Lepisosteus oculatus: one gene and its partners. Each later gene encodes a partner of the first gene's protein in a complex. Links are inferred from orthologs where the notes say so. Each region holds a gene or a part of one and is shown on either strand. Other genes may lie near its edges.

Region 1 (7,877 bases):
CTCACAAAATGTTCCCGATAGTAGACTGTGCGGACGTATTTTAAGTTGCTGGTAATTTTTTTGCCCCCAAGGCAGGGATATTTACAATGAAATTATACCACACACCCCATAAAGACACCGCGATGCTCAGCCTATCCCAGGGAATTCATCATTACTGCACCCGGCTCTTATTTGCTGTGAACTGCCAAGCTCTTTAGTTTCATAGGATTAAAAGGACATTCCCACTGGAAAGTTAGCATCTGCAAGCATCTGCCTGAGTGGCAATAGTTAAAACTTCAGACTATTCTTGTATTACATTACCTTGCAATGCTATCCACACAGCTGGTACCACAGAGGAGTGCCGTTAGTCACTTCGCTAAAGCATTTACTGCAAGTTGTGATTTAGCCTGAGTCACTTCGTCTAGAAAGGCAAAAATCTACATGATAAAGCTTTGGAAGAGTACTGGCTTTGGTTGTTTTCCCCAGAGGGCAAAAAAATTAAATGTGTACAGTCAGGGGAAGTGCTTCTGTCATCTTGCTTCAACCACTTATGTCATCCCCTCTCTTCTCCACTGATGAGTAATGTATCAAAAAGGTCCATCTTTAAAAAGAATACAGCAGACTATATTCTATAGCAGTAGCAGTGAAAGAATAAGGGGGCAGTGTGGTGGCTCTGTGGCTAAGGATCTGCGCCTGTGGCTGGAAGGGTGCCAGTTTGAATCCCTCGGCTGGCAGAGGAATCCTACTCCATTGGGCCCCTGAGCAAGGCCCTTAACCCCAACTACTCCAGGGGTGCCGTATAAATCTGACCTCAAGCTTCTCTCTCCTCGTCTGTGTGTCTCATGGAGAGCAAGCTGGGATATGCGAAAAGACAAATTCCTAATACAAGAAATTGTTTATGGCCAATAAAGTGATCTTATAAGATATTTATCTAGAATGAATAAGTGACAACCCACATTTCTCTTATAAGTGCCTAAGTTATTTTTAAACAAAACCTGAACTGAAACCCCTTAACTTATACTGTTAACTGTTACTGTAAATCACTTAAGATCGTTTCTCCGTTTGTTCATTGTTACAGCTCCTCACACATCAGAAACGTCTAGCAGCAAGGCTTTTATTGCACTACCATATAAACCCAAGCGAGGCCTGAAAGTATAATATAAACATGTCCTAACAGTAGGACAGAAATTACAAGAAAAATTAGGGGCTTTTTCCTTATATGAACTCCTTGCAACCGGCTTATGAAACGTGTATGTGGGTACATATGAAACCATATTTCCAGAAACCATGACAGCTCGTTCCTTAAGCTGCCGATTCAGCGCTGACAGAATGTGCTCAGGGCGTCGAGAGATCTCGCCTGGCACCTCGAGCGACACAGGCTAAAAAAAGACAGAGCTATCCTCGGTTGCGTACTGTTAGGCTGTGAAGACTCCTCCAGTCACACCGACTCCTAAACCAGACAGAAACAGCACAGAGAGCAGTGAGAGTTTGAGGAGCTTCAGTTCCCATGGTTTAACCACTTCCCAGCTGGACTAAACAACTGCGATCGCCCACAAGTCTGAATGCCAGTCACACAACAGGAAAGCGAGGAAACGAGTTCCTTAAACTGAGCCAACAGCGGCGACCCCCTGATGACAGAGCTGGGGGTTAACCACATCCCTGCTGGATGAAATATCTGCATCTCACCAACGTGATGCAGCGCGATCGGAAAACCAGACAGAAATAAGCCGAAGAAGACGAGCTACACACATTCCACCTTCATCCCCAACTGTGTGTTGTTCTTCACCTGGAGGCGAAGGAAGAGCCATCTCACAAAGAAGGAGAGGTAGAGCAAACAAAATAAACATCCATCAAACCATAATCACAGTACAGAACAACTACTGTATTTGAGGTAAATCTGTATTTTAGGTTTCAACCAGTTGAATACTATTGCTGAGCACAGCGTGCTTAAATATCCCCAAAACATCTGCCTTCATCATCCCCAAACATCAAAAGGTCTCAGTTACCTCAGTCAAACAAGACACACTTGCCAAAGGCTTCTGAACTCCCTTACTGAGAGTCGCTGAACCAGTAAGAGCAAGCTGCAGCATTGTTCAGGTTAAATAACACTGCCTACCACCAACCACGGCTGGGACATTTTTACCTGCATTAAATCAATACACCATCAATTAATCAATCCTCATCTCGTGGCAGTAAGCATATGACTGCGCTGAAAGCCTTGACATTTTAAGAAATGTTTTAGGACAACTATGAAGGAATACAAATTCTGCCAGCTGTTCAATTAATCACTGTAAATGACTGTCACTATAAATAATAATGGGTAGATTATTAACAGCCCATCTCATTAAGATGTTTACTCCACATACTAAAAAAAACAATTACAGAATCGTAAGGACAGTCTCAGAAAACTCCTAGTGATAGACAATAATAGCCAATACCATATATAAAAACACCAAATACTGACAAGTTCTGACAACTGGGATTGATACAGACTGAAATATAAATCTAGGAAAGAAAGCAGCAATATTGTGTCCACTAGGCTTGCAGGTGTACACAATTATTACACATAATAATAATACTGGACAAAGAACAAAGCTCCATTTCTCATTTCAGGATGGTGCTGTGCTGCAGGGGTAGATACTCAGCTACTTTTTGTAACATTTCTACAGTCCAAGGGCCAGTCAACTCATTAAGTGCAAGCTGGAAGCTTAAAAGACACTCTAAAGAACAGAAGACATGCGGAAAACATCTTTCCTCCATTCATCTAACTTACAGTTTGTTCAATAAAACTGTTTGTTCTTTAAACGTCAATAAAGAGGGCTTTGCCCCACAGAGTCAGCAAAAAAAAAACACAACTTACCATTTTATGCATGCTAATGAAGCCCCCTCTGGCGGAAAAAATGCAACTTCAAATGTATATTTTAGCATATATTAGGCTGAAACGACCTGCACTGTATTGAAATGTGCCATCCTACATCTTCAAGCAGATCCCCAAAGACAGAACACTACAGCGTTTATTTTGTCTGCAGTGTGCAGTTTGTTACAAACACCAAGGAAAGAAGTATGCACGAACACAAAAACCACCTTATTAGCATTTTAGAAACACTATATCTTTGGGACGTCAGTGTGAAGGTCATTTTACAGGTAAAGCATCTGAGTCAGGCACAAGTCGCATTCAGCCACAAACGTCAATGAACTTACTGTACCAGGAAACCCTGGATAAAAAAAAAACCAATGACTAAAACCCAGAGGATACCTATAAAGAAATTTTAGGAATAGACTATGAGCAATACTTATCAACACGGATCTCATATAAAATTCCTGTTAGGCCTAGTGTCTTCAGGTATTTAGAGAGTGGATTCCTCTAAAGTAAGCTATGAACTGTAAAATACAGTACCTTAAAAAAAACCCTGGGTCTAAAACAATAATTTAATCAATTGTTTATTTGACTACTTAGCACAGAACAAAAACTAGAAGATTCTGAGCTTCCAAGAGTTGAGCTCATTAGCCCTGCGCTACACCATCCCCTAGAATACATTTCTGAAAACATAACTCATACTATAATTCATTAAAAGGAAAAGAACTCAAAATAAACCAGAAATTAACCCAAATCAAAAACTGTCAAAACGGCAATAAAGTGGCTTGAGACACTCAGGGTTAAACTTGACGGAATTAAACTTGGTCCTGAGGTCCAGACAAAAACCTAAAGAGACAAAAGTATCACTGGCTGATGTCAATGTTTAAACACAAGCTACCATGTCCAGCGCTTCCAAGAACACAGCCTTCAACCATTCACTGGTGGCAAATGGGATTTCAAATACTAAACGACAGAAAAGACAAATCCTTAGATCCTCGAACTCCTGAATACCCCACACGGTAGATGGGTCAAATGGCCTCCTCTCATTTGTAACAGTTGGTAGGTTCTCCAAAAAACAAAAAAAACAGGTCACAACAAACTCATCCCCCGTGACAGCTCTGCTGCTGCTCAACACGCAGGCAAGCACAGTGTGGCTGTATCTTCCGGAGAAGGAAAGCTTGCCCGATCGCAGACCTGCTGCGCGTTAATTCCGCATCTCCTCACCTGACAGGCGATTTGCTGAAATTCACCCATTCATCAATTAACCATTACCCCAGGCCCAGGCCTGCGGAGAATTAAAGCTGGGGTGCAGTCTGTGTTCTTTTGCTGCAGGAGGAGCTCGGGGCGCATTCATTCAAACCCTCGAGGTGCCGGCCCACGCGTCCCAACGGGAGCCACACACACCGGGCCTGGGGAACGGCAGATGGCGCTGGGGGGGAGGGAGGCAAGGACAATTTGCATTTAAATGGTTCCAGCCCCCCAAAAAAAGCTTTGTGGCGCACACCATTCACCTGCTGTTTCAAATCCACAGAGACGAGAGGGTGGGGGGACTCACTTCCATATGGAAGCTGCAGAACGGCCCTCAAAAGACAGAGCGCTCTCAGCCACCCAGGCTTCGCGCCGAAGCTGAAAAAGGACAAATTCGCTTTGACTGCACCCTCGACAACTTGCCCTGGAACGGGGGCAAACACCAGAACAAAACTAAAACGCACGCACTAAGTTGCTATTAATTCACCGATACTTTCGTCACAGACAGCCTAGAGCGCTGAGAATTGTTAAGAAAAGATAAATACGTTCTATGAGGAGGCTTTCAGAATAAACTATATAACGTGATAATCATTTATATTGCTCGTGCACTTTTGGATTCAACACAGAATGGCGCTAAATACATCATCAAGCAATGTAGATTTAATGATCATCCAGACTGATGAGTCGGCTTCTTCATGGACACAACAATATGCTGATGGCACCACATACAGCGGGTGTAATTCATTTTCAAGCCTGACAGCACAGTTTGGCTGTAAAAGAGTCTACTCGGACTGTATCTGGGAAGTAAGATAAAAGGCTCACTGTAGGAATGCTTCTCCATCTACTTGCACTGTCCCCTGCTCCTGGTAATAGATCATGATATATACACTCTGACAGAGAGCATTACACAGAGGAAGAATAACACTTCATCTATTCAGCACTGAAATCAGTCTACACCCAGCCTTTAACAGTCCCAACACACTCCATGGAAAACTTTAACCCTGTCCAAGCAGAAATTTATCTAGAACTTCTGCTATGTACTGTAGTACTCCACACAAACCATGCTTGCTTTGACTTTCTCAAATTCATACCTAAGAATGACTGGGGCTCACAATGTAATCTTGACTCATTTCCTAAAGCAAGCAAATGAAAGATCTGGGCTGACAGGCAGAAATGACTGGCTCGTCAGTCTGTTTAATTCCAAGAACCCAAGAAATTCACGTCCATGAGCAGTTCAACAGTTGCAGTTTATACAGTACTGCACTCACATAATTACAGAGAGAAGACCTTTTTTTTCTATCGGTTATACACCTGAATGATATTATAAAATTCCCATTTTTTTCAAACAGTCAAATGACCCTTTGCATGAATCTGAAGCATGCTGAATGTTAAATTGATTGCGGTCTCCACTGTGACATCGCATGTTGAAATTCAACAGTTCGGGAGAAGGGGACAAAGGGTGTTTTGGAATGGCCTTTCATTAAGGTTGTGATTTTCTATGCCATTTTAACCCCTCATCTTCCCCAGACTCCCAAGATGTGTCCACGGTATATACATTTGTAATTCTACAACTTCAAGACAAGAAAGACAGATCTGCTTTCAGCCTGATCTAGTGAACACTGCTTTCTGACAGAGCATTATCTACTGGACGCAAAGCCAAAAGTTAGCCAGAATTTCAAAATGTCTTTCCCCCTGTGTCATACCCCAGCTTGGGGGTTCCCCCTTATTTCATAGTCTTAAGAGGGGGGCTTTGGCCAGGTTAGATCATTTTCACACTTTCAACACAATATAGGCAATAGTCATATAAATTAGGTCCCCTGTTACAAGAAACATTACTCTGGAAGTGACAGTTGAGAAGAGCCACACAGCTACAGCATGCTGAAACAGAAAACGGACAGGTAATTGTGACCAAATGATTAGCATCACACTGCAGATGAGCTGCATTCAGCACCCCAGCACAGTAACATCAGCAGTACATTTTCATTCAACACCTTACTTAAAAAGGGAAGCACTTCTAGTGATTTAAAAGGTTTATCACATGACCACAAACTTGGACCATTTTGTTTGGCAACACAGAAATCCTCACACAGTACTGCGTGTCCCCCCCCCCCCGTCTTCGAATAAAGGAAAAAAAAAAACATTAAAATCCCAACATTTCGGGTGCCAAGCGTTAAAACACTGACTCAGCAGTTCAGTTTTGTTGCCATGAGAGAGATTCTGCATATTTAATGGCTTGGTTTTTTTTTTTGCTTGTTTTGTCGTTTCGGATTCATGTCCTTCATTAGACTGGAAACCGCACACGCACCCCCCCCTCCACGCCCGCCCCCCACATCCTCGCCAGCTCATCCCTCAATAAATGACAGCGTGACCGTCTGTCCTCACCAAAATACCCGCTCGCCTTCTTCTTAATAACAGGTTACCCAATTTAATTTGAAACGAAAACAACCATGGCTAACAAAAACAGCTGCGCGTGTGCATCGATCAGAAGTTAACTCCAGGATAGTGTTACCCTACACAGTGATGAGGCTGCGCCGAGGAGAGCCCAGAATCGATAATGTTTGCTCCTTCCCTTGGGCCTCTTTAACAGTCCAGCACAATACCTGCTACCACACGAGGTCGATTCCTGAAGAGCAAGCTCAGGCCTGGGACTGTGGTCCTGAAACTGCTTACAAAATATAGCAACCAACAAGAAAACGTCAGATTTGTATTACCTGGAAAGATTTTTTTGTTTTACATTATGTATGTGCTTATGTGGCAAGTCAGTTCTGATCATGAATCTACCGTTACTGAGGAGAGAAATCACAGTGGAGGGCCTTTCGTGGTTGTATCTTGTAGCATAACCGTCCTAGGTTTAAACATATGTACGTGGAGGTACACAAAGTACTTTTCTTAACCTAACGCATCTCAGATTTCCTGGTTTCAGAAGTCACATTCTCACACACGGTTCCTTGCTACAGTCTGTTGAAAGCAAATCAAGCACACAATTATTCTTGGACACTGACGTGTTGGAGATTGCAAGCTTGAATTTTCACACTTTAGGAAAGGCTGTCGACGGGCCAATTCAAAATTTATTGTCAATACCCTTTTTTTTTTTAAAAAAAGCTTCTTTCTGTTCCTTTACTGCCATACACACTTTTCAATAATCAGAAAAAAATCAGCAATACATGAAAACAGTTAAAGAAGAAGAGGCCAACGCCAATTGCTTCATTAATATTTTTTCTCTTAACCAAGACAGACAACATAAGACAGAGTCTCCATTATTTCAGGTAACTGATCCTTGTTTAAACTTTTGACAGTGGAAAATTACACTATAGCCCTTGGCCTTCAGACAGATTAATCTGATATGCAAGATGGTGCCATGGGGCTTCTTTTTTTACCAATACAAATGTATTTCACTGCACAGTCTCTCATCACATCTTCCAATGTGGACTTGCATATAATGGAACTGCTTAGGGTACAGCGCGGAAATTTAAAGGATCTGGATTCATTTGGCGTTCTCCTCATTTAACTTGGCAAGAACGTCTCAGTAATCATGTATAATTTGCATATATAGCTGCATAACTATATAGCATTTGCGTTCCTTTCCCCGTTAGTATAGTCTAAAGTTAAGAGAACAAAACTCTTTGAAGGTGCACTCCTGATTCTGTATACAAGTGATAACGTGCCAGAATGTCAAGAACAGTTTCCTTGTTTTTTCGCCTCACTGGTCAAACACTCCGATCGACACGCTTTATGAAACATTTCGGACTCGACGCTGTTGATCAACAACCGTTCTAACTTCACAAAGAGTGAC
Region 2 (7,751 bases), on another chromosome or scaffold:
GATTCTATGATTAATCTGTCAATGCAATGTCTTATTCGGCCAAATACACTTCTCACTGCCTGCCCAGCACTTTATCCACATCGGTATGACATTCTAGGCATCAACTTCACCACTCCTTTGGAAACAAACAGGGAAACCTCCACATGTGAATACAGTCAAACATCTTCACAGTACAAATCAAATAAACGTGAAAAATACAATTTCACACATAAACCACAGCAAAAAGACAAGTTTTGTGCTGGATGGCATCTTCTTCATGTGCACCCTATTCATAACTTCAAATATGGACCTGCATGTTCACTATCAAACTCCTGGCTTCAAAATAGAACCGAACTCAACACTGACCAGGCCATCCACAGCACATAACCAAGGCAATCAGATGATCCAAGGCTTCCTATTCGTCCCCACTCACTCATGTTAATGTTGAAAAGTGCACCAATCTCTCAGTGATTTATGAGAAAAGCACAATGATGAATTTTATGAGACCCTCCCACCCATTTTCTTCATCTGCTGCCTCCAGCTATACTTGTATTATCAATGCCCACGGTCTTCAGAATGAAAAGTTCAACAGTTATTCTAGTCCAGAACATACTTGAGGAAGAAGCAGTTTCTCCAGGAAAATGCAACTTGGCAGGCAGCAAAAACAGACCAAGGAGAGCACCCAACAGGCGAGTGATACACATCACCAGACGGGTGCTGCTCAAGTGAAGGATGCACATTTACAGAAACTACGGATTTCTGCTGTATTGTGCAGTTGGCCCCTGGAGACAACACTGCACTTCATTAAGACAGCTTGTGCTCAAGTGCTAAGGAAGTGAATCCACATTTCCCAGGGGCTAGCATTATCCTTAATAAGAGTGCTAATGTGTTCTAATGCACACTGTGGGGCGCTTTCTAACTTACTCATGGAGCCAACTTTGCAAATCATTTGGAAACTAAGTACCACGAACTACATGAAGAAGGCCGCTCATTCCAGCTAGCAATAAAGTTAATGACGGCAGCCTAAAAACTCTTTTTGATCAAATGCCACCAACGAGAATCCTGTGGCGCATCAGTGCTGTCTACAGCTAATTCACGTGAACGTCCATTTCAAATCCTTCCCTTTTCCCAAAAAGAAAGTCTTCTATACTACAAAAACTTCTCCAACAAATCTGTCTGCATTTTTTTTTCCCTTTTCAACTCACATTCTAGAAAGAGAAATTTGTGACTCTCTCTCTCTCCCCCAGGTCTCTCCACTGCTTCTTGACCTAGTATGAGATAAAGTTAGAAACAGCACAAGAGGGCACTTACAGTTTGAATTTCTGTACAGAAGAAATGGGTCCTGGAGCTGAAACTCTAGGTCTTTGTTAATGGGCTCCACAAGATTTTTCATGTTCAGCCGGTTCATTATCGTAAAGCCATGATATGGAGAAGCTGACCTACAATTAAAAAAAAATACCATTTTCAAATTCTGGAATAACACCTGTTAAAAACCTGGCAACTCACACAAACGAAAAATTCAATTTGGGAAAACTTGAGCTCAGCAACATTAAAACCAGTGCATTTATTCTGCATATAAAGAGCGCTAAGTGGAGTAAGTGTTCTACAGAAGTAACATTTTTAATAATTCAGAGTTAGTGGGCTGTACCTTCCATGTCTTGACTGAGTATATGATGCAAAGCCAACCGTTCACCGAGTTACATGTTGCATTCTGTTTTTGCAGTGAAAGATTGAGAGATTAAGATTTCTCAACAGTGTAAATTGATATTTTTTATCACACTGGCAGTCATTATGCCATAAGTGAATCTTAAAATCTGAAGGTTTGACTTGTAAATGTATACTTCTAAAAATGTTAAATAGTTCTAATACGACTTAAAATTGCCAAAATGTCTATCCAGTGCCAAGTGAATTGTGACCTATCTTTCAGATTTAATTTAAAACTGTGGTCTCTGACTCACTGGTCTACAGCACTGGTTACTGACACCTTCTTCTCTCCTATAGATTTTCAGTCTTAACAGTAGCTTCTGATAAAAACTAATTATTATACTGGAAAAGACAATATGGTTTACATCCATGATGGACACATTTTAAAACAGTGGCCTAACTGTAAATCCTAAGTGCTCTGGAATCTAAAGCAATGAATACAAAATACGTTACTCTGTTTCAATAAGTGTTCATACTAGCTGTTTCTTTCTGCAGATGGGAATATATTGTATTATGTGCTTCACAGCTCCTTCCAGAATTATTACTCTTTACACCTGAATTGTTAATTTTTCCATTACTTCCAAACCGCAAACTACTCTTGACTATTAAACTATGAACGAGACAGCTTTTTGATAAGATATTTTAATAAGATAGTTTGAGATTTTAAAAGATTCTTAATAAATTCATAAATATTGAGGCCTAATCTTGACCAAAACACGTGTACTGGTGACCAGAACCTTGATTGTTTTTTTTTTTTCTGGGATAGGGGAGGAGATCATAGATATAAGAGATACTCGTATCCGACTTCGAATACGTTACCTGGCGTACACAAATAAGGTACCCTCAATGTCGGTTTTCTCCTGGAATATAATACAAAAAGAAAACAATCTTAAAATCTTACTTCAAACTCCTTTTCACCTGTTGGTTCAGTCTAAATTAACATAAATTATGCAACGCCAATTTTAAGAATTCCATCTACAAACACCAGATGTACTAACAAGACTATCCGTATCAGCATTTAAGATACTCATTCACCTTTTTTTTAGATTCAGAATCTCTTTATTCGAAACCGTTCATTAAAAAAACATTTCCGCTGAAGGGAGAGATGTCAGTTTAATATAAAAGTTGGTTTCAATATGTGCTCCATACAGAAACTTCACTGAAACAAGCCTCAGACTCGCCGCTTTCTAAACTATATGTCGAAAAATTTTAATACACCTTACCCATTCGTTTGCTTTGGAGTTAAAGGTATAGAGTGCTACCTGCCCGGTTACATCGATGATTCTATTAATATAAGGGTCATTCTGTTTTAAAGCTGCCAGACTCATATCATGTCCTACTTTACTGATAGCCTCCATCTTGGATTCTAAATCCCCAGTACGAGCATCCTACGGAGGGATTTCTATGAACACTCCCTCCTCGTAGGGCAACAACAGACCTAGAAATAAACGTTCCTACTGTAACAAAGGGCTTTTTCGTTCCGCTTAGTTCACTTTCGAAGGGAAGGGGAAAAGATTATTAGGTCACTATTCAATCGTAAAAGCCGATTTAAGATTTTAGTACTGTTTTATTTTTCTTTCTCATCAGGCTAATCATGATATTTTAGGAACATTATAGAAACACACAGAGATGAGTATCCGACCGAGTAAAAATCGAAATCCTAATACCACTGAAAACACTCATTTCAACCAGAACTAAGCTAATCAACGTCACAAACTCCAAATAATTGCGGACTATACTCTTATGTATTTATTTATTTTCATTAAAAGAAGTTTATATATTTTACCGTTATCTAAATTGTTTAAAATTATTACATTTTGCTGTCTTCAATCTATAATGCTGGATTTATACACACACGTGTAAAATATAAAACCTGATGGTGGCCACAAACTAAATTTAATACAGACGTATGCAGAACATGCTTTTATCTGGTTCGAATGAAAGTGCCTCTAAATCCAATTACAGAGTACAGAAAAAACGCAAGAGGTCCCCGTTTACAAAAGCCTCAGTTTAAACCAGTCCCACGTTGTACATTTTTAATAAGATTATTTGTCTATTAGCCTATCGAGGCTTGTAAGGCGGAGTTAGCGTTGATACTATCCTGTTTTGTGAATGGTAGAAGGCGGGGCTGGCTTTTTTTGCTTGCTACTCTACAAAGTGTGCGTCTTTGAGGTTTAAAATAGACACAGACCAGATTTCTCAACCTTAAATTGCCAATCATGACTCCCCTTTCCAGACTGTAATGGCACCGGTTAAATTGGTTTAATCTGTTCAAGACAGTTCTTAGAATCCCCACATACCTAGGGCATTCTCCCTTGGAGCAGTGCTGCACATACAGCATTAAAATAAACTGTGTGACATCCAAACAATCAGAAGAGGGAAAAAAATCTGACAACACTAAACATAAAATGAGTAAAATAGCCAATTAAACAGAAGTGAGAACAAATGTTCTATCTGGCCGAAGGCTGAAATAGGTCAGTTGCGACACTCCTTGCTTCCCTCAAGAACATTAGAAGGATTAATAATTCAAGGATTATCTCTGAGAAACAATTATCTGCTGCAGACAGGTAATCCAATATCCTGAAACCTTCCACCCAGCAGTGCCATTTCACTTTGTGGTTACACTACGAAATGCGTGACAAACGTATAGCTGAAGTTGTGCGGATGTCCCAAAACGAGAGAAGATGAATGGCTTTATTTGTCGAGCTTCCAAGTCGGTGAGGTAAGGCTACGCTGGTTTTCTGGGGTTTAAATGGTATCGGACTGTAGAAAACAGATGCCACAGGAGCTGCATGTTGGGGAGACAGAAAGAAAAATGCGATAAGAGGTGGTTCTGCATGTTTGGCTTGACAGTAATGTTAAGTCAGCAATATGTCTGCTATTACTTTATTTCAAGTTTTTGTTATATCGCATTTGTATTGTCTGTGTTTAGAGTGTTAACTTGAAACAACATGAAAGAAGTCTGACTCATATTGGAAGTGGTGCTTACTAACTTTAATATAATATTTTAAAATTACTTGTGATACAGTGTATTCTCTGGGTAACATATAATTATGTATAAGTGAAATACTTGTCTAAAGGGAGAGAATTAGTATACTGGTAAGCAACAGATATGGTCACTTTATACTGTTTGTATGGTAGAAGCCACAGTATGACCATTTCCTTTTATCCATTTTTCTTTCGTTTTCTTTAAGTCATGTCCTATATGTGCTTCTGATATGTACAGGTACTTGTTGCCCTTTTCAATATTGAATCTAGAGTTCAGTTTTAAATTGTTTTCCAAAATAATATAATGTAAAATATGCATCATCTGGAATTGAAATATTCTGTTCCGATATTCCCTTAGTATCAGATAAAATATGAAAGACTATATATTCACACATTACATTGTTGCTAGGTTATAGAATTATGCTGAGATATCCTGTTTTATACTGTTAAGTTTAATGGTGTCTGTTTTCATTGATTAGAGGTCATAATAACAGAACAGTAGCAGAATCTGGGGTAATATTACATCTGATTTTAAAATAACGGTTTTGTATAGATTTTGTACATTTTCATATTTGTCATTATCACAGATTTAGTTTTAGTTTTATTGAGCTGTCGTGAAAAAATGTTTTGCTGGACATTTATACATCTTTATTCCAACATACATAATATAACTTGCCTTTAAATTGTAATTGACAATAAAATAATGTACCAGGACCTTTATATTATTGCTTAATATTTGGTTTTAAATGTGTAAGACACTTTTGAGCCAGACATAGTAACAAAGTAATTCTAGGCCTCTTTTACAGCAAGCTATGACACAGGACTATGATTACCAAAGTAAAAGCGCACTGCTGTAGTTAAATTACAGTCCTTGGCACTAAAAAATCAACATTAATGACTTCCTACTATTGAGGACAATTGGAGTACAGCATTAAATACCTTTGGTTTTGTTGTATGATTTCAGTTTTTGGAAGCTTTGCAAAAGGCTACTGTCATCGGGTTTTGGAATATTATTAAGAATGATAGAAATAAAAGCACAAATTCTGACCTATAATTAAGATGAAATGGGATTTTGTAACCAACCTCTAAATTTCAGAACTACTCTCATTCATTGTTTTTAACTTACCAGATTATAAATTAACCACATATTAGCAGCTGTTACGTCAGAAATAAGGGTACGGAAAATTTTCGAGAGACGCTCAAGGTTTGGTGTTCAGAGGTTGCTGGAAACAATACACCTACAGTAGAGTATTTCTGAATCTCAGGACTGAGCGCAGAAACAAATAAACTGAACAACCCAAAAGCAAACAAGCAATCAGATCGATTAAAGGCATCAGTGAATACTGGTGATGGAGAGCTCAACTGGAATGAAAACCAACGGAGTGGTTCCCCCAGGACGAGGGACAGGAACCACTGCTCTAGAATATTCCTGTTAACAACAGTAATATGATCATGCCATGTGAAATCAGATACAATGCTTTTATCCACAGTGTCACCCTAACAAGGATGCTCCCGGGGTAATACTGAATTTATCAAGCTAGGAGACAGAGAAATTAATACATATTTATAGAACATAAGAACAAGAAAGGTTACAAATGATAGATGGCTATTTGATCTGTCTTGCTTGTTTAGTTGATAGTAGCTAATTGAATTCATTCAGCTGTTTCTTGAGCTTCAACAGCTCGACTGAGTAGCTTGTTCCAAACTCCCATGCCTCCTATTCTAAGTTTTAAATGCATTTCCACTTAGTTTTCAGTTGTCCTCTACTGCAGTTCATATCGGAGTATTGATTCTGAAGAAGAGTGGACTTTGTCGATGGCCTTGGGAATTTTCAACCCTTCAGTTAAACTCCTCAGAGACCTTGTAGTCTTCTGCATTTAAGATGAAAGAGATTTGGGGGTTTTTAACCTGTGAGTCTAGGACTTTCCTTGGGCTGAATTAAGAGCAGCAATTGTTTTTTTATGAGGTATAATGATCAAAATTGTACACAATATTATTTACAATATTGTACGTCTCCTTCCTTCTCTATATTGTCTGGAAGATGAATTGGCAACTGAGAAACCAAATCAGGTGAATGGCCCCATTTTTCTTACTGTATGTTCTTGTACTGTATTTCCCATTTTATATTTATAGCTTATGTTTCTGTTACCTGTGTGTAACACTGCGTGCTTGTCTGCATTATATGTCGTCTGCCAGGAGTCTGACCATGAATTTATTTAATTATATGTCTCTAGCTGTAAATGGATTTACAGTGTTTCTTAAAAAAGGATATTCTTAAACCTATAAGATATTAGTCTTATTGTATAGAGTACCAGCATTACATTATCCAAAATTATATTCTACAAAAAGCACCGCGCGGGACATGTATTTTTAAGTTAACAAACTAGCCTCTGAGGGACTTAAACCACATTAGTTTCTTTTATATACTATATAGTAGCCTAAATTGATTTATACGAGTTTTCGGTCTTGTCCAAAATTCTGACATTCTGTATCATAAAAAGACTAAAGCAAAACATTGAACGTCACTCAAACTGAGCATTCACGGACATACCTGCAACACAACGTCCAAAATAAGAGTCTTTTAAAGACCGACCTCTAAGGACCTCGTCTGCGAATTTTTCAATATATTCGTTGAATTCATTGGTTAAAAGCGGGCTAAGATGGTTTATAATGTTTCGGCTGCTGATACGGAAACTGAAAGGAACGTAAATGGAATTTCTTTTGTGATGGGATTTACTTCTTTCGCCCTTTTTTTTTTGACTGCATCAGGAGTTGCTATGAAATCCATCTTGTGAAGCCAGCACCCGGATGTTGCAATAACGATGTGAGATATAACTCCCAGGGATAACTATAGGAACCACTTGTGTAAATAACATGGGGGTGGGCTGAAAGGGGGGCAAATCATTATTTTGGCTTATTTGTTTTTATTGGATCTTTGCAATATTTTAAATGAGGAAACGAGATGTATGAACAAGAGGACCAACGAAAAGGTAACGGAGCTGTGATCTCTTGTTTTCAGTTGTCTTCTGATGCTGTACCGGCAACGCTGTAGAGCTGAAGATGCTCTCTCTGTACGATAA
Region 3 (7,963 bases), on another chromosome or scaffold:
TTAGGCCATTCGTACGCCTCTATTATAGAGATCACCCTTTTAAAAAAAAAATCAAATGCGAATCAAATCAATATATTTCCCTTGCGCGCACTATTTTTAACTTGAATTTCCCAGTCCTGGCCTTCGCAATAGAATTACAAGAAAACGTTTTTCGTTCTTACGCAATATTTGTATACATGTAGATCAAGTTTCGAGCTTGCCTTTGTCTGAAATCCATCCATCTACTTTGTTGTTGTTGGTTTTTCTAAATTCCATTAAATGCTTCCTTAATCTGAAACATTATACATATAAAAGTAATAGAATTGTGAGAAATGAACGGAGTTTTGGGGAAAAAATACTTGCAGTGTCCCCCCAAAACACAAGGACAGCATAGTCAAGGCTATTGCTTTTGCTTTACAGTCAAGCAATTTGTATTTAAGAACAGGAAATTAATATGAGAGATGCATACAATGTAATACACTATACATTTTATTTTTAGATCATGTCATACGCACACGTGGTCATATTAGTGCGAAAAACATACTTTTTGTTGAACCCGGTGATTTCAAAGGACCAAAGGTATTGGGACACTTTCACTTTAAGTACATTTCAGAGTGTAAAAGTCAGTACATATTATCACCATTTCCCCTTGAGGCAATGACCACATTAGGCCTGCAACCCACTGAGATCACCCAGGTATCTGCGTGATCATCTGAGGGGCTTCATTAAGCCTTTGCTTCAGTAACTCAGGTTTCTTGATTTTTCCTGAGGTGTTGGGACTTTTTTTGTTCTGAACTTTTTCGTCATCATGCAAAATGCTGGTCAGCTGGAAACATGGCTTGACCATATTGGTTTGGTCAGTCTAGGACTTTTCTTTTTCTCCCAATGATAAAAGTTGTTGCATGGGCTGTATGTTTTAGGTTGTGGTCACGCTGCATGGTAAAGTGCTGCCCAACAACTACGTAAGTATCCTCTTCTGCATCCATCGCGGAGGAGCCAGGGCCTATCCCAGCAAGCAGTGGGCACAGGGCATGACCTTCCTCTACATATTCAGCGGAAATATTTCAGAATTCATTCTGCCGCTGCCATCAGTGCCTTCAAAGACCAATGAGCCAGATGTGAAGCCAGAATGTTTCACCATGTTTCCAAATTTGCTCAGAAGTACAAAACTCAGGCAGAAGATTTGGGGAACATAACTTCCAGAAAAAATCAGACCGAACCAAAACTTCACCTAAGTTTAAGTGTGGCGAAAAAATAGAAACTGCAGATGCTCCGGAAGTCATCATCTCATCTGTGAAGCCACATCAATCCCACAATCACAAATACAAATAGCCTGATTCTAAACCAAAAATAATAGTTATCACCTTGCTGTCACAATTGGGGGGCATCTGCTGTTACAGATGGATGCTGGACTGCATTGAGTTTCTCTGCTTTATATTGTTGTCGTCTTTGTGGATCTCCTACTTCTAATACACAAGGATTCTTCAATAATAAAAGTTAATATCTGGATACATGGATGATGATGTACTTTTGTGATATTAAAATTGATTTGATTTATATGTTTAAAGGATTTTAATTGTTCAAAAAAGACAGGCATTATTTACCGTAGGCTAGTTTTAACCTGAGGTATGCCCTCAAAATGACCAAAGCAAGAAGCCTGTACTAATGGCATTAATTATTGTAAATTTTCATTCCGCATTTGTGTGCTGTACACTAGGATCTTACGTCCTCTTGTTTTTAGCAGCAAATGCAAATTTAAATCTCACCTTTTTTCATGATGTAGGCTTTAGCCTTTTTTTCAAACAATTTTGTTTCATTGTTCATTAGGTTTGTTTAATGCAATGTTCATGCAATAAAATTAGTCATTTCACCTGTCGTGATTGAAGATAAAATCACCAAACTGCATTCCAGAGATTATTCAGGTACATTTCTCGTTAAGACCCAGTACATGATATTGAGGAAATTAAAGAAAGACCAATACTGAAAGAACACGACGGGAGTTCCATTTAGCTCCAAGAAGGAACCTAATAATCTGTTGGAAACGATAGCCTACATCAAAGCAATTTGTTTGTAGACTGTAGTACAGGCTACTGTAAAAACGTAACAGTAAGCTCAATTGTTCAGCACTATAAACAAGTCTGACACATGCGGTCTGACCTTCTGGTAGACAGCCGTACCCTCAAAAATGGAACTGTTCCTTTAACATTTCCGAGGGTCGTCACATACTGTGTGCGCTTTTCCAGTCAATGGCGGCCTGCTCATGTGGGATCGTATCCCCTCCACACGTAAAAAAAAATCAATAGTCGATTTTGATTTGGCGCAATTCTGTCCTCTGTCAGCGCATCACCTCCAAGTAAATAAAGCAACATAAAAAGGGGATTCCATTCTTTTAAAATCGTGTTTAAAACACATTCCCTATGTTCTTGTCTAGTGCAATTTCATAAATAAAAAAAATGTTGAAAGGGTATATTTCCCAGTGTTAGAACCAGCATCGGTTCTTAAGAGGGTTACCTCACATTCAATGATTTATGGATATTGTAGATATAGTTTGTACCTATGATATATAATAGCACCTATTGTTAGCGTCTAATACGGTAATCCCTCTCGCGTTGCGTTATTGACATCTGTGCTATATCAGTTAGCCTGCAGTAGGAGCACAATAACTACCAGACACATGACCTAAAAAGAAACATTGACCGAGACGGGGCATTAAAGGGGGATATTTTGTATTCTCCGGACGCCATCGATAGGGTTTACGCGACAAAAACACAGCGCACTGTAGCTGGGAGCGGGTAAGAATGGTAAATGTCCTTACTTTATCGATAGAACCAGGGCGCAATCGGTCCAGCAGTCTGCACAGGACCACACCATCTTTCAGAGACGATTGCAAAAATCCTTCTGGATCCGAGATGGTCTTTTTCGGCGATTCCAGGACCCCCAGAGTAATAAGCCATGTAACGGTTTGCTCTGCTGAATTCATGGCAGCATTCACGATGCAAATCCAATTGGGAGGAGGTGGGGGTGGGGGGGGGGGGGGGAGACGGGGGGCAAATTAGTTATGTGGGTAGATGTATCAATATATATTCCAATTAAAACATTTCCTCTCTACATTGGTGTGAGGTCCGGGGCAGAGACTACGGCTGATCCCTCCTTCTCCATGTAGATGCAGATGATGACGATTTGCTTTTGAAAATCCAGCAGGTCGGTTTTTGCTTTCCTCTGGGGTTGTTTTGGCCAGCTGTCAAATGCCTTTCTCTATTATACACACAACCTGCATTGCCTCCCACAAGTGATCTTCCGGCAGATGACATCATGGACACGGAAAAGCGACATGGCCACTTACAATGGTAATCAGAGAGGTATATTTGCATGGCACAGGAATACTTTTGCATGGTTTTACATGTGTGGCCTTTGAAATAGGATGGCAGCATCTGGATATGCAAAACCTCTAGCATTTTGCTTTTGTGAAAGGAAAGGCACTGTTTTGTGTGGGGGTAAACCTGAACTGGGAATAGTTCTCACCCCTGTGTTGCCTGTAGTGTATTTTATTGATTTAGTATTTGTGTTATAATTTGACAATCTCGAACCTCGAAAAACACATCACTGATATTTACAAAAAATGATAGTGGGCGTTCAAAATATTTTTCTAATTAAAGGGTAATTCAAATTATTTACGCATCTCCCAAAAAAGCTTCAGATATAGCACCTTAATGCTTTTGGATACGAAAGTCCGCCGCCTTGTGGAGACTCCTAGTATGCTTTTTCGCTTAAAACGACCTGTTTTGTCCTATTTTGTTCCACGGTTTGACTTCAATGCTTTCCTAACAGAACTTGTGAATGAGCCAGACTACATGCTTTATAAACTGTCGGTTAAATACATACATTTCTCATAATCGATTTAATACATTAAAGTGAGATTTATGTGAAAATGTTTTCCTATACTCACTCAGGAGGCGGGTATGTACAAATGAATCGTCAATAAATGTTTTATTCACACAATGGCAGTTTAAGCTGTTTTATGTATTGTGAATATTTTTGTGCATTCTATGTTGTTGTTTCGCTTTTGCAGAATGCTAGATAATATTTTTTAAATAAAAGTTTGAATAAGTAACAATGAAAATGCAGTTACATTTATGTAAGGACCAACACTGGAACATACCAGCACCTTATTAGCTAGATGTGATTTTTCTTTTCGAAATTCGTTGATTTCGATTTAATTATACTGCAAAAGCAATGCTTACAAAGCGATAAAGAACTCTTATACAACAAATGGTAATCATCGTTTATTTGTTACGATCAATAAATTGACAAACACAAACTATAAGCAAAGGATACTTTAAGATATTAGACACTTGAAAATATGAATTATTTAATATTATACTAATATTCTTAATCTATAAAATGTTAGAGTTTTCGACAAAACTATACGCCGTGTAATTATTTCTGTTTCCACACGAGGGAGACCTTGCAGCGAAAATCGTTTTACAAAATTATTTTCCGTTAAGGGATTGTTTTTTTATTCTAGATCTATTTGGCTTTAATTTGGGAATTCATAGTGTTGTGTAACAACATGTATCATATCTGTTTTATATATAAGAATGATTAAAATATCATTTGTGTCTTTCTAAAATATTTTAACATCTACTATTCCTTCCTATTGCTACTACAAATATTACTACTACCGCTGAGAATAACAAACACAACAACGTTTCTGGTGATGATGACAAATTTCATGTTGGGATCTTAAATTAAAAACATGGAACAACGGGGTTAAACTTGTAATTTTCAAATGGGTCTTTTTGGATAAGCCTACCGCTAACAAAATTCCTTTCTTCATAACATAATGATTAGTTCACCTTGCAGTTTTTCTTATCCTTACGGACAGAGACATGCGATCTGTTGGTGAAATAATCACAAGACAGAAAAAAGACACATCACCATGAAGCCCAGAAGACAATTACATGTCAGGACATGACACTTGTGCTTTAGAAAAGAGGCTGAGAGGTTTAAGAACTGTAGAGACTATAAGACTACATCCTAAAGAAAGGTAGTGAAATTCAGCTTTTCTTTAATCTAAAATAAAAGCACAGCCAATTAAATCTGGTGCTTCTATCACACACCACCCTACAGGCATAAACGACTAGTTATTGTCATTACAATAAAATAGGGTAAATAGGCCCTAGTGTGGTTTTTCGTGTTTGTGTCACTGTGTGCCCTGTAACGGATATGTGTCCTGTCCAGGGCATATCCTGTGTTGTACCTGTTGGTTGCCAAGGTAGGCTCTGACACCCGAATTAAATGAAGAGAAGAATATGGATCAAATCCAAAACTTTATTTAAAACGATATTCTTGGAAGGAAGTAGATTAATGGAAGGTTACAGTGACTTAATAATATTTACCTCAACTGTATAAACTTTATGTGTATTTGCATTTCAGCACCTTGTATGATGAAGTCTGTGACATTTTAGCACAGCTGCTGCCAGCTTCCTGGCAATCAGGAAAATACTTGTGTATCACCTTCTTATCTGATGATAATTCAATTCAATTCAAAATACTTTATTCATCCCCGGGAGGGCAATTTAAGAAAACAACTTAATAGTAATCACATTTATTCTAAAGGATCTCCAAGCATGTTACATGTTGCAAGGAACTCATTTCATCCTGCAGTGACACTGACAAGGCTATGAATTTAACATTAAAATGATGAATTCTAAAAGCATACATTTAAAAAAACAAAAATCACCTGAGTTTGTTTCATATGATTTTCATCTCTCCCACCACTTACCTCCCATTTCAGACTTGTTTTTGTCTCCTTCCTTGTCTTATTGTTATAATCATATTATTGGCAATAAATACACAAACTAAACTTTTTTAATTAAAATCATTAGTCATAACACAGTCGGCTATGATTGAAGAAATGTTTGTGACAACCATAAGTCAGTAATCAGCTTCTTGTACTGCTTTTAAAATGATGTATTTTTTTTTATTTGGCTTGTTTTTCTTTCTCAGCTTTCATCCGAAATTCTTTCTAAACTGTGCTTATTTACTTCAGTCATTTTTCATTGTGGATTCATTATTTTTATTCTGCGTCCCATGGGGAACTCTTCCAGCAATCAGCACACCTGAAATATTTATGTGGTTTTGAAGTTATCGGCACTATATGCTTAAACCCTTCACTGTACATATGCTAACACAAACAGTAACACAGCAATATTACTGAGCAATACACTGCAAGAACAAAACATTGCCTGATTTCCTTTAAGGGAAATTTGTCAAGGAAAAACATGTGTTGATGATAAATGGATAACACAATGCTAACACCCATCTGCAACCTGGCATGAGTGCTTTGTTTTAAAGCCAAATTTACACAAACATCTTCTCTCTGGGTTCTGTTTCATTGTGCTGGAACAACAGTCATGTTTCAAATACATGCGGGCTGAGTCCAGGGTGCTTCATAGTAAAATTGAATGTACTGCATTACATATGTGTGGAAAAACTCACACTTGCCATACTTTGTATGTGATAAAATGTGTTTTACCATCGGAAAAATGTGAAGACAAGTTGTTTTTCACCATTCTCCTGCCTGCCAATCAGACATCAGCAGCTTTTCTAAACCAGCATCCCAGACTTAATCATAGAAGGTTCTGAAATTGTTAGCTGTAACTTTGGTTTTGAACGTGAAACTTCAAAATAAATTTGATTATTCCAAATGTGTTCTTACATCGCATTGTTTGGGAATGTGTGTAATTTACTGTCCAATGCAGGATGTGTGAAACTGATTTATGTAGTGTTAAACACTGTTTATTAAAACAATTTCTGTTTTTCCTCTATTTTCATCTGAGTGTCACTAGGTAATGGGGTACAGCCTTGGTGTTTTATTATATTCTGTATACATTAGAAATTAAGAAACTTTTTTTGTTTGCTTTCTGAAGAATTGGATGGTGGCGACTTTGAACACAAAGACCAAACAATTCTTCGTGTCAACATCAGGGGTAGCTGTGGAGTCCATCGGTCAAATTTAAAACTGGGAGTTTTAAAACTGAAATAAAAAAATCAGTTTTCTGCAATCTTTTCATTTTCTTTTTTTTTTACTGTACTCTAAAAATAAGCTTGAACACTATTTTTGAAAATGTGTTTGTTTTGTAATGATTCACAATTAGCTGAATTGATTACCTTAACATTAAGCAAAGCTTTAACGTTACAAAGGAGGGACTGACATAATTTAGAAACACACCAAAGTTTGTGAATATATTCTTTCTGGATATATCTTCAACACTGCCGGTAATGAGAGAAGCAAAACAAAGCACGTTTTCTGGAGAGACTTCTTTCAATCATATTTTAAATAAGCCCTTATATCATTCTTTCTGTCCTACAAATACTTTGCAATGGCTTAGCTTTTCCTGGGATAACCCATGCACTATGGAAAAACAGTTTAATTAATTGCATTTTTGCATAGTTAAAACGTTAGAAATCATACAAACTGAAGGAGGCAACGTGGCCCGTCAAGATAATTTGGCTGCTTTAACTAGCAGTCAAGGTATGAGCTAAGAAAACGTTTAATACTTAAAATATTTGCGATAGTACCAAAATTTTTCATATTATTTTTTAGAATATTTTCATTTTTAACAGATAAATTCTGTTATAGAGAAGAGTGGGATTTGGGGGGGGGATGTGTACATTTGTGATGAGCTAAGAACTGCTGTCGGTAATTGTTTTATACAGGAAAAGTTAAGTTGCTAAATTTATGTTTGTTCTAAAAATGCTTAATGATATTAAGATCATTAGCATTTTTTCCGTCCTGTTAATCTTGCAGGAAGTAATGCGTTCATACCACAATTTCTCAGTGGACAAGCTGGATGTCCAAATTTAGTTTCTAAAAATAGTATATTTGATTTAATTTCGCACGTAACTGAATAATAGATTATAAGGAGTGGGGATAGCCAGATTTGTTTCTGTCAAATCTGTCTGATGCCTAGCTTGTGAA

The links. Proteins that work in one complex are often made in the same cells at the same time.
Region 2: pak1 (region 1) and dcp1a share a complex: the UniProt entries of both Homo sapiens proteins name them as parts of the cytoplasmic complex. The link is inferred for Lepisosteus oculatus from reciprocal best matches to the Homo sapiens genes PAK1 and DCP1A.
Region 3: the proteins of pak1 (region 1) and arhgef7b are in contact, whole or in part, in an NMR structure (PDB 1ZSG), measured with the Homo sapiens proteins. The link is inferred for Lepisosteus oculatus from reciprocal best matches to the Homo sapiens genes PAK1 and ARHGEF7. Residues at the interface, in NP_001363202.1 of Homo sapiens: Thr185, Pro186, Pro188, Val189, Ile190, Ala191, Pro192, Arg193, Lys198, Arg203, Ser204; in NP_001106983.1 of Homo sapiens: Lys192, Phe193, Phe195, Thr198, Asp201, Glu202, Glu217, Gly220, Trp221, Trp232, Pro234, Ser235, Asn236, Tyr237.

Annotation. Positions count from the first base shown.
Region 1 is NC_090700.1:9,943,324-9,951,200, reverse strand, and holds the start of pak1 (serine/threonine-protein kinase PAK 1), read right to left. Parts: upstream 3,242-7,877; 5' UTR 2,852-3,241; coding exon 2,840-2,851; intron 1-2,839. UniProt on the Homo sapiens protein: Protein kinase involved in intracellular signaling pathways downstream of integrins and receptor-type kinases that plays an important role in cytoskeleton dynamics, in cell adhesion, migration, proliferation, apoptosis, mitosis, and in vesicle-mediated transport processes.
Region 2 is NC_090699.1:63,508,265-63,516,015, forward strand, and holds the start of dcp1a (mRNA-decapping enzyme 1A), read right to left. Parts: upstream 3,230-7,751; 5' UTR 3,042-3,229; coding exon 2,907-3,041; intron 2,544-2,906; coding exon 2,503-2,543; intron 1,419-2,502; coding exon 1,291-1,418; intron 1-1,290. Other genes in the region: voltage-dependent L-type calcium channel subunit alpha-1D, read left to right, coding at 7,634-7,661. UniProt on the Homo sapiens protein: Necessary for the degradation of mRNAs, both in normal mRNA turnover and in nonsense-mediated mRNA decay. Removes the 7-methyl guanine cap structure from mRNA molecules, yielding a 5'-phosphorylated mRNA fragment and 7m-GDP.
Region 3 is NC_090710.1:25,691,297-25,699,259, reverse strand, and holds the start of arhgef7b (rho guanine nucleotide exchange factor 7b), read right to left. Parts: upstream 3,230-7,963; 5' UTR 2,960-3,229; coding exon 2,795-2,959; intron 1-2,794. UniProt on the Homo sapiens protein: Acts as a RAC1 guanine nucleotide exchange factor (GEF) and can induce membrane ruffling. Functions in cell migration, attachment and cell spreading. Promotes targeting of RAC1 to focal adhesions. May function as a positive regulator of apoptosis.